Drosophila melanogaster: one gene and its partners. The protein of the gene in region 1 interacts with the protein of each later gene in a pairwise test. Each region holds a gene or a part of one and is shown in the gene's direction. Other genes may lie near its edges.

Region 1 (3,395 bases):
CGACGAATGCTTCATACACTCCACCAACCTGGCTGTGGCCCGCAACCAGCCGGTGGAGTTTCAATCGAACTTTCAATTAAAAGTCATGCGAACTGGAATTATCAATATGCTGGTCCTGTACTTCGATGTCTTGTTTCCGTCGGGAAAGTCGAACAAATCCGTAAGCCTGACCACCTCGCCGCATTCGCCATGGACGCACTGGGAGCAGACGGTGCTCCATCTGGATGAGCCACTGTATGTGAGGATTAGGGATCGGGTGCGCGGTGTGCTGGCCATGACGCCCACCGGACAAGATGGACGTGGCATGAACTTTGATCTGCACATCAGCTTCCGTGGCGAAAGAACGCGAGTGGAGAGCTTCAAGAGCTTCTCCTCACCAAGATGAACCTGAAGTTCATTTGAAATTTAAAAACATAAGAATGTTGAACCGAATTGATAACTGCCATAAAATGGGTCGTTAATCTAGGGCCTCCAATTGCCCAAGGGTTGGGTTTTATATTTTTTTATGACAATCAATCCGCGGCGGGGCTTAGAAAGTGGACAGACGAAATGTTAACGACTTTCCTAACAAATTAATTTCAAAGCCAGGTCATTGCCGAGGGGAGAATGTGAAAATGTGTCCCTCCCCGGGCTCTAATTAATTGATGAGCCGTCGTATAAATTTGTGAAAGCCAACGCCGTGGGCCCACAATGAACGCCTTTTATGCGTTTATAACTCTATTTACTATTTTAGCCATTTGCATTGTCTCGCTTCTCGCATCTCGAGAGCTTGGTTGCCCAAAAAATCTCTTGTCAGCTCGTTTTGTGTTTGTGCACAGACGGACTGGTCTTTGTTAATGGGAGTTCTTAAAAGGCCATAAAGTTGCTTTATGCGCCCATGAAATTAATATGCACACCATTATTGGACATGATTATAAAATATTGGTTATCTAGCGCACACAAAAGCGCCACAAATGAGCCAGCGATCTTTGATTTTCGGTCAACACTTGTTCGCATCCCGCGTCGGTGATTTCGGTGGACATCCCGCTGGGCGCATTAACAAAAACAGCACCCAGATGGATCCGATCCGATCCTCGCCAGTCAGCCAACCATCCAACCAGCCAGTGTAGGCCCAGAAAACATTTCAATTTGTATAACCCCATGACCAAATCCTACTACTCCTCGTTCCTGTTGTTTGGGTATCAAATTGCTGGCATTTGTCAACGGAGCGGGACACTGCGCACCAAGTCGCCTATAAATTAGAGACTCGTTAGACAGCTTAGCCGCTTGCCCGGATTTTGGAGCCCAGTGTATCCTGTCGCTGCTCCCGCTGATAAGAAGGTACGATCCCACAATTGGCTCATAACTAATTGGTGTCACTTGGATGGCGATAAGGCATGGGAATTGTGAGAAATGCCGGGCGATAATCTATTCGGAATTTATGGCGGCTGATTGGGGCGTGAAATGTGAAACCAGGATAATATGAGGTACGATTTCCAAGTCGAATTAAATTAAAATTTATACAAATTTAATTTAACAAGTTAAGTTTAATATAAATAAATAATAAATAAATAAATATAAATATAAGTAAAAAAATAAGTTATGTTTTGAATATATCCATGTGTATTGAGTATACCAATTAAAGCAATCAGTCGAAGCTTATCAAAGTTTGACACATTGAATACCTTATAATATATAAATCATGGATCTGGAGAAGAATCTGCTGAGAGAAATGGCGGACAGCATGTTGAACGATGTAATCTCCACCAGGGCATACGAATGGGTTTTCAAGCGCTATGAAAGACTTTTCAAGGATAAGGTTAAGATAAGTTAACTTATCGAAATGTATATACAAATGATCGATTTTCAATAGATAGTCCTGGACGTGGGTTGTCGCAGTGGATTACTTAGCTTGATGAGCGTGGAAGCGGGTGCCGTCAAAGTTATGGCCCTGGGCAATAGGGAAAGTGCTGAATTTGTTAGCAAGGCTTTTATCGGCACTGAGAAGGAGGATATCTTCGAGTTTATCGATGGCGATATCCATGAGATAGTTTTGCCCTGCGGTCTGAAGAAGGTCGATATAATAGTGTCCGAGTGGGTAGGGTACGTAGTTCTAAGTTGCCACATTACAATCAATTAGATTTCAGTTATTTATTTCACAGTCACTCTGTTTTCGTGGACTCACTTTTCAAGGAGGTGATCTTTGCCAGAGAAAAGTGGCTGGTTAAGGGTGGTTTTATCATACCCAATGTGGCTCAACTTTTTGTCTGCGGAATTGCGGATCATCCGCGTAAGACTGTCGAAGTGAATATCCTTCCACAGTCGGATTATCCTGGTCGTAGTTATATGGTCAGAGAACCCGTTTCCCTGATAGAGGATTACGTTGCCAAGGAGCAGCTGATAACCGAAAAGTACCTTCTGAAAACCATCGATCTCTGCACTGCCCATATAAATGATGAGAGCTTCAGGGTTCCATTCAAGCTGCGTGGCTTGAGGGACAGTCAACTTGGAGCCGTGGTGCTCTATTCAGATATTGGACTCTGCCGGCCGAGGGGAAAGTTTAGGCTCATGTTTTCCACTGGTCCCAAGAGACCTCGCACCTATGTGCGCCAAACCATATTGTTTATGGATAATCCCGTCGAGGTGGCCAAATGTGAGCTGGTAATCGGAGAGCTTGGGATGTACTACAAGCCGGATGAGCATCGCGAAGTGGAGTACTCCTTCTCCTTGGGCAGTTCCACAGTCGCAAATCCATGAGAGCACAATGATGTTTCGGTACTATGCGAATGATGTGGATTTGAGCGAAATAAAAGGGGGCTCTTCTTGTTGATGTATTCATGGCAATCTTTGGACCCTCTGCCGCTGCTAGGGGAGCAGGCTGGGGATCGTTGGCCGATCGAAATTTATGGCCGTGCTGCATCAATTAGGGCGGCTGCTACCCAAAGACAATGGTTCTGGACAAGGGATCTGGCTGGGGATCGTCTGTGTGTCGGGTTCTGCCACCGATTCTGACTGACTTATTTTTTGTGTAGGCCCTCCTTTTTGGCTGCTTTGGCTTCTTTGGCTGACCTGATCGGTGTTTAGCTTTGACGTTGCTACAACGATTTAAAATGATGTCGCGCATAATTCACCGACCATCGAACATCGACCATCGTCCATCGACCATCCGCAATCGTCTTGCCAGACTGTGCGTCGTGATTTGGCTCTGGGGTTTGGGTTTTATTCCAACGGCCTCGTTTGCAGTGAGAGCTCTTTTGTTCTGATCTCATAACCGAGCTCTGATCCCAGATCGCACTTGGTTAGCCCAGCGAAAGGAATCCGTTCGCGGATCTCGATTCCGATTCACCCCGGCCATTCACATGCTTAAGTGACATTTCGTCTGCTGAATGTGCACTGTGGAAAAAAGGGTTATTTAA
Region 2 (3,754 bases), about 15 Mb from region 1:
GCCGCACACGGCGAGGGAAATTCGAGGCGGCAGGACTCGAAGGACACAGCGCCAGGCGATGAATAGACATTCCCGAGATAATCAACGGCATTATCTTCTGATTATTATGTGTTCTTGGGGCATTTCAGGGAATTTCGTTATGATGAAACTCGCAAAAAATATCGAACTATATCCGGGATGATCGGCGGATGATGAGGATGCCGGGACACCCGGTTGAGTGGCTGAGTATCCGCTTTCCTTTCTCCTCTCTCGTTTAGTTTTTTTTTTTTTCGCAAATTCTCTGTGAGCTCATCATAATCATCATCAAACCCTCGGTCACTTGAGGTTTAAGCCAACATTAAAAAAGAGCCGAAAAAACACCCAAAGACGAAGGAAATCGCCGAAATGAACGTGAGAACACTGAATGTCCTCGTACCGAAATTTGCTTGGGCTCCTCATTGTTCGTTGAAGTGCTCGAGAGAGATTTGCTAGTTGTGTCCTTATTGTTTGCGGGCGAATGTTCATGAATGAATCAATGAATGCCTGAATGGCTAAACGGCTGAAGTTCACGTCCGCACAAAGTATCCGAGTATCTGAGGGATATTGCCGCGTTTTTAGCTGGAATCCCGGATGCAGTCGAGGCGTGAGAAGGAGGCGATCTCTGCGGCCTTGGCAACAAGTCTATTAGTCCGCCATGGTCCACTTGTTTATGGCTTACGTAACCTGGGTGGCAAAGGATGTGCAGGATCTGCACTGGCAGATGGATTCGTGAAAGGGATGCGCGCCCTGATTTCTGCGAGTTGGGTAAACATTCATCGCATCCGGTGCACCCTTGACCGATTGCGAATGCAAATCGCACATTAGAAGCCATGTGCAACTTTCCGCCCAGCAGTCAAACATTATGCAACCGAAACCGAAGGCCGCCCAGTCCATTGATGGCAAATGACAGGGAAACCCATTCGGGACACGTTTTTATGGAGGTGCGAAATGGCACATTTTTTCGACGAAACCTGCCGCGTCATTGAGTCGTCGTCCTTTTTACACCGGCTATGTGCAACCTGAACAACCTGTGCAAGCCTTGCAATTTGTCACCTGAGGCGACATTCAAACTGCCAACGCATTCCAGCTGGGTTTTTGCCTTTGGCCTACTGGTTCCTTTCATTTGGCCACGATTTGGTGGCAACAGTTTCATGAATCGCAGCCGGAATGCCGACCGTTACGAATATTCATTCATGGCACGGCAGCCACTCTGGGGACCTTAAATGGGGCTTTGACTTTGATCCTACAGTTTCATAAAATATTTATGAAATTTCCGATGAAAATATTTGTGCTCAGTTTGGCAAATCATTTCCTTGTGCGAAACGGATAAAAATTTTCCCAGGCCTCGATGAACTGAAAGTGCAATTTTCATTTATGCAATGGGAAAGGTTTGAGTAGGTTTGACTTTTAAGGATTTGGGGAAACCTCAGGGGAAAGACTTTAGATTCTGCGTAAAAATTAGGGAATTTATTTCTATGAATGGCAATTTTTAAGGGAAAACTCCCCACTTCACCACTCTTATAATAAATAGTCATTGATCAGAGTTGGCTTTGGGTTTGTCTATCAACCAAGTATATTTCAACTTGGCTTTAAAAAGCATGGATAGTTCATGGAGCTCCTTGATTTCCCTAGAACCCCTGGGAGTGACCAACACGCCATTGGACTTGCCTGGACTTGATTCGTGTCCTTCGCCAAAAAGAGCAAGGATTAGTGAATCCCAGCTGGGGGAAGCCATGCCCAGGGAACCAGCTAGTGTCTATGGGGAAAAGGCAGGTGAGAACGGCTATCGGGGACTTTAAGCTTCTCACGGACTTTGAATTATCCACAATCCTAGCAAATTTCCATTCCCTACAAGAGAAGGTGAAAACGTACCAACCTGGCACAGTGGTAGTCCAGCCACCCGAACGACGGCCTCCCGAGCCGGAACACGATCGCCTGATGTTCATTCCCGACCTAGACCAGGACATTACCCATCGGGATGTGTTCACCTATTTCAGCAAATTTGGGGATTTGGAGAGGGTCAGCGTGAGGAATGGCATGAGTAACTTTAACTACGCCATGGTGCGGTTTAGTCGCACTTCATACATGGAGCATGCCATCGAATCGAATCCACATCTGATCAAGGGATACCGATTGAACTGTCGCAAGGCGAAAGAAAAAAGTACAAATAAGGGAAGTCAGCAAAACTCTGGGACCATAAAAAAACCAAAGGCAACGATAACGCAGCCACACAAAGCTCCTGTAAGGCAGGCAGAGAAAAACGACGCCAAACAAAGTGGTCACAAATCTTTAGAGAAGAATTCGAAGCCACCAATTAACAGATCATTGCTTCTTCAAAAACTGGTAGAACCCACGTCCTATAGTCCATTTACCGCCGTAAAATCTGATCGAAACTATGCCTATGCATTAACCAATGACATTGGAATCTCCCGCTGGAGCTTTAACTTGTTGAAATTCGAACCCAGTTCAGACGAGGTGAGGGCCCTGGAAAAGGGTCTTTCCAGTTCGGCAAAGCTCCTACTGAGCATACGGAAGAAACTGGCTGCCGTGCCCCACAAGTCTGTCGAGCCACCAGCTCCAAAGTGGCCACAAACTCCTAGTGATAAAGCCGTTCCAAAAGTTACTCTTAAGATAGCTCCACCAATTCCTGCCTCTAGTCCAGTGCTCCCATCCCTGCCACAAACTCCTAGTGATAAAGCCGTTCCAAAAGTTATTTTTAAAATACCTCCACCACCTCCTGCCTCTAGTCCAGTGCTCCCATCCTTGCCGAGCCTTCTGCCGATCACTCCCCTAGTGCCTAAGCCCAAACCTGTTCTTCGAAAAGTTTCCAAGTCAGATCTCCGCTACGCCGTTCTAGCCAGTTTGGGTCAGAACTATGTCCATCACTGCTACACTAATGTGGCAGCTTATCGGCGGACCAAGAACTACGTCGACCTACAGCTCAGCGAGATGAAAGACCGACCCAGCATTTCGATGTTTGCGGATCAGATGTACGCACAGAAAGAGTAGGAATTACCAAATGCAAATCATATCTATCATATCATATATCATTCAATATAACAATAGTTAAGCAATATTTCCCAAGAAACTTCAAAGAACACTTTCATTATAAGGAAATGGCATACATTACATAAGTCGGACACTTTCTAAATTGAGGGAAGCCGAAGGATGTGACTTAGATTCCTGGAAGATATGAATGGAGCTGCTTGAATGAAACGTGAACATATTACACAAAAAGTTCCAATTCCAATTCAAAGGCACTTGAATCGCAGCAACCTGTCAACATAATTAATCCCCTGGATCAGCTGATGACGGTACTGCCCCTGACCGAATGATACACAAAATATGAACAATTCCTAGAGGGGGCGCGGGAATGCGATAAATGCGATGAAATAGGGGGCCTTGATTTCTGTAGCGCGGCCTCTGTTCTGCCCGACATTCCCAAGGATGTGCCTCCAAAAACCTGGCTTTCTTCTTGCTGGGCCGTGTTAATTGTCCAACATTGTGTGAGCGTGGACGTGAACAGGTCGGGTGCCATTAACAATCTTAACAACGATCCACAGCCACGGCCACGGCGATCCCACGGCTTGTCGCCTTGTTTCTCGAGCAGTTTTTTATGCCATTTACGAAGAAATCTTGCAACAAATCAGGAGCTCCCTTTTCCACAGTAAATACGAGTGTGCGAGAGCGACCTTTATTCGTTTGATGTTAAAAAAATTGTTCTACCTTCTCCCCC
Region 3 (3,754 bases), on another chromosome or scaffold:
CGAAGCGAGCAATCAGGGATTTGAGATACGGAACCCGACCCAAGTTGGTAGAGGTCAGGAATCCCTCTAAAGAGCGCACACTTGGCTCCTGACCAAGAAAATCGTAGAAGGTCAGCAGGGGATGCCCTTCGAAGGAGTCGACTGTGTCGTGAGTTTTCTCCAAGTATGCTTGAACGCTCTTGGATATCTGAAATACATTTAAATTGACATAATTATACACTTAACACACTTAAATATAGAGTAAATAATATATTTGCGAATCATTATCTGTTCTGACTTACCAACTCGAAGCCCTCGTTCTCGGTCAATGAATTTGTTTTTATGTCGACGATTAGATTAATCAGGGGCTCCTGGTGCGTTTCAGTGCCGGCCAGCAGTTCCAGCGAGGCGATAGGCACGCATTCCATGAGGAGCAGCGAGTATTGGCCGCGGTCCAGCAGGTATTTCGCCAGTGGCTGGCGGCTAAGGAGATCCGCGTGCTTTCCCAAGCACTCCATGGTGCAAAGGCGACGCAGCAGAGAAGGAATATCTTCGGACTCGTCCATGAAAAAGTATCCCGCACGCGCAAAGAAGTTTCGCAGCACTTCGCTGGGCTGCTGCAGTTCCTCCACGGCGTACTCGTACATGGTGGCATCTATTTTCCACGCGGTGAAGCTCTGTTCCAAGGGAGAAAGCGTTTCCTGGGACACAAAGCCCTCCTCCTGAAGGCGACACCAGCGTTGGAGCTTTGCTTGCTCGTCACTGTCTACCAGGTGCTGCCAGACCATGTCTTTGGACAGGGATCCCAACAGAGATTCATTGCCATTGGCGAAGTACAATTCTACGAGGAGCAACTGCAGTGCCTGCTCTGGTAATGTCATCATGGCTTCTATGTGCACACGGGGCAGCTGTGTTCGATGCTTGGCCACCAAGGCCTCGCACTCCCGGAGTTGCTGCACCAAGGACCAGTGGTAGGCCAGTACTGGCTCTTCCTGCTCGTACATAAGGGGCTCCCGACTGCGCAGGTGATCCAGCACAAACTCACTTAACTCCTCGTCCTGGCACTCGCAGGCGAACTGAAAAAAGAAGCACTTCACATCTCTGTCCACGTTCCGGATCACGTCCTCCGCCTTGCAGACAAGTCTCTCGGAGAGCAGTCGCTGCACATAGGCCTGCACCACGTCGTAGAAGTAGTGGCGGTACTCCGAAACGGGAATCTTTCTCTTCTGCGCCCAGTACTCCATGCACAGGTCGATGTGCTCGCCCTTGGTGGCCACCTCCTTGATGATGGTCACCTCGCTAATGCCCCTCCAGTTCTTGAAGATTTTGTCGCGGGCCTGAGCCTGCGCCTGGGCGGAATGCATCTTGGTGGGCGGAGTTCTTGGAATGTTCTGCGGGCTTTTTCACATCTCTTTGTTGCAATCAACAGTTGATAATAGCGAAAACAGCTGTATGTTCTGCTTCTTCTTCTCCGGAACCTTATCTAGTTCCGAGTGCAAGTACAGTAAGCACTGAAAATAATGACGCACAAATTGTATTAAATGGAGCCACATTTTAACTAAAAATATCTGAAACTTTGTTCAGTCCATTGCTGTCGAGGAACTTTTGTCTCTTACCCTTTTGCCACAACGGGAAGTTTAAGTTTATTATTATTATTAAGTTTATCAATGTCAAAGAGTAAAGTTTTTAAAATATTCAAATCATTTAATGTCATCTACTATAAGATATTCAAAAAAAATTTACTTAAATATTGTGGAATAAATATAGCGATAGAGTAAAAAAATGGCCCCATCCCTTTCTAGCACACGTAATTTCTTTTAAAAGAAAAGTTGCTGATTAAGTTTTTGGAATTTCCGGTGTGAACACGACATCTGATTGGCCAGACCTGCCAACTTGTTCGAGGTGGGTGTAAAACTCCGATGGTATGAGTACCTGCTAGGATTTTAGCAAAGTTCGAACCCAATCCGTGCTCATTCTTGGTTATAATTAGGTTATTTTTTCGATATTTTGAGGTATATTTCTACGATAGATCGGCGGTCACATCGTATTTCCCTCCTTTTCGTTTTCGTTTCCGGCGAAGTAAGTATAATAAAATCTCCACGTTTTTTTTAATGCTAATAATTGAAACATCTCATTGGCAAACTAGCGAATAATCTTGGAATAACCAGTCCGCGAGCAACAAAATGTCGAAGAGAGGTAAAAATCCGAACGAACCGCGCCGCTAAGCGTGCGAAATGTGACGCGCCGGATGTGGAGAGTGTCGAAGTTGTGGTGTGCAAAACTAATAACCCTCTGTTTTTCGGTCTCATCCAGGACGTGGAGGTACCGCGGGAGGCAAGTTCCGCATCTCCCTCGGTTTGCCCGTGGGCGCCGTGATGAACTGTGCCGACAACACCGGAGCCAAGAACCTGTACGTGATCGCCGTCCACGGAATCCGCGGTCGCCTTAACCGTCTGCCCGCCGCTGGTGTCGGCGACATGTTCGTGGCCACCGTGAAGAAGGGAAAGCCCGAGCTCAGGAAGAAGGTGAGTGTGGTGCCCAGTGCTCCGGCTGAATCGGTCATGTGCTAAAAGTGCCCATGGGCTAGCAACCCGCCCAGTGAACACGTTTTTCCACTTTGTTTGTGTGCGTTTTCTTGAATGAAATTCAACTTGTTTCTGTTTCAAAGAAGCCAATTTGAAATTAGTTAGCTCTTATTACATTGGGTTGCTTAAGGTTAATAATCGTATTTTGTGCTACACTATTTGTCATTTGTTTTGAACGGGCAGTTTTAATTTCTATCAATTGCAGAGTATTTCATTGTAAAGTAATACGATAATATAGATAGATTTGTATTAGACGTGGAAGGTTTCTCCTTACGCTTCCAATAAATTTTCCCCACATGTTTTGTGCCGGCTAAGATAGCTTATCGCACCAAACTCACGTTTTTAATATTTTTGTTTATTGATAAGAATTTAAAATTGTAGTGAAGAAGGTTTATAAAACGGTTTCACTGCACTTCTCATAATTCCCCCACCTATAACAACGCACTTTTGCATAACTAACCGATGCAGCAGGAGGTTTGCACACTGCCGAGCAACTTTGCTAACTACTATTTTCATTTGTTTCCAGGTCATGCCTGCCGTGGTTATTCGGCAGCGCAAACCGTTCAGGAGGAGGGACGGGGTGTTTATATACTTTGAGGACAATGCCGGGGTAATAGTAAACAACAAGGGCGAAATGAAGGGCTCGGCCATCACTGGACCGGTGGCCAAGGAATGCGCCGATCTGTGGCCCCGTATTGCATCCAATGCAAGCTCTATAGCCTAAGGAGTTTCCTTTTCAATAAACCCACAACGGAAAACAGATTGTTTTGAATTCGAATTGTTGGTTCTTTTATTGAATTGCTGCACTGCTTCGCTACCGGAGGAGGAGAATGAGGATCGTCTCTAGGCCTTGGGTGCCTCCGTACGTAGAGTGGGCTTGGGTCGTGTCACTTCCATCGATACCTTGCCGTTGGCTCCCTTGAACAAGGCGTAGCACACCTGGAACGGAAGACCCTCCAAGGCATCGCCATTGAATTTGGTGATAATATCGCCGCGCTGCAGTTTGCTGTCTATCTCCGGGTATTGTCCTTGAATCTGTCGAGAAAGTAGTTACTTAGGGTTGAGCCTTCCTACCACTGTATACCAGTGGTGTATGTGCACTCACCAAGTCCGCGATGGTACATCCAATTTCGTTGGGAGAAAGCGACAGGCCCAGCTCCTTGCCTGCTTTTTTCATAAGGTCAACGTTA

The links.
Region 2: the proteins of Art9 (region 1) and CG14506 interact in a two-hybrid assay, tested with the Drosophila melanogaster proteins (one large-scale study listed by BioGRID).
Region 3: the proteins of Art9 (region 1) and RpL23 interact in a two-hybrid assay, tested with the Drosophila melanogaster proteins (one large-scale study listed by BioGRID).

What each region holds. Positions count from the first base shown.
Region 1 is NT_033777.3:13,941,689-13,945,083, reverse strand, and holds Art9 (arginine methyltransferase 9), read left to right. Parts: upstream 1-1,623; 5' UTR 1,624-1,681; coding exon 1,682-1,798; intron 1,799-1,852; coding exon 1,853-2,082; intron 2,083-2,141; coding exon 2,142-2,736; 3' UTR 2,737-2,846; downstream 2,847-3,395. Other genes in the region: Art6 (arginine methyltransferase 6), read left to right, coding at 1-385.
Region 2 is NT_033777.3:29,295,092-29,298,845, reverse strand, and holds the start of CG14506 (uncharacterized protein), read left to right. Parts: upstream 1-1,665; 5' UTR 1,666-1,751; coding exon 1,752-1,791; intron 1,792-1,852; coding exon 1,853-3,027; 3' UTR 3,028-3,685; intron 3,686-3,754.
Region 3 is NT_033778.4:22,852,355-22,856,108, forward strand, and holds RpL23 (ribosomal protein L23), read left to right. Parts: upstream 1-2,028; 5' UTR 2,029-2,058; intron 2,059-2,125; 5' UTR 2,126-2,162; coding exon 2,163-2,175; intron 2,176-2,292; coding exon 2,293-2,504; intron 2,505-3,090; coding exon 3,091-3,288; 3' UTR 3,289-3,340; downstream 3,341-3,754. Other genes in the region: CG13531 (uncharacterized protein), read right to left, coding at 1-187, 282-1,343; inaD (inactivation no afterpotential D), read right to left, coding at 3,408-3,599, 3,670-3,754.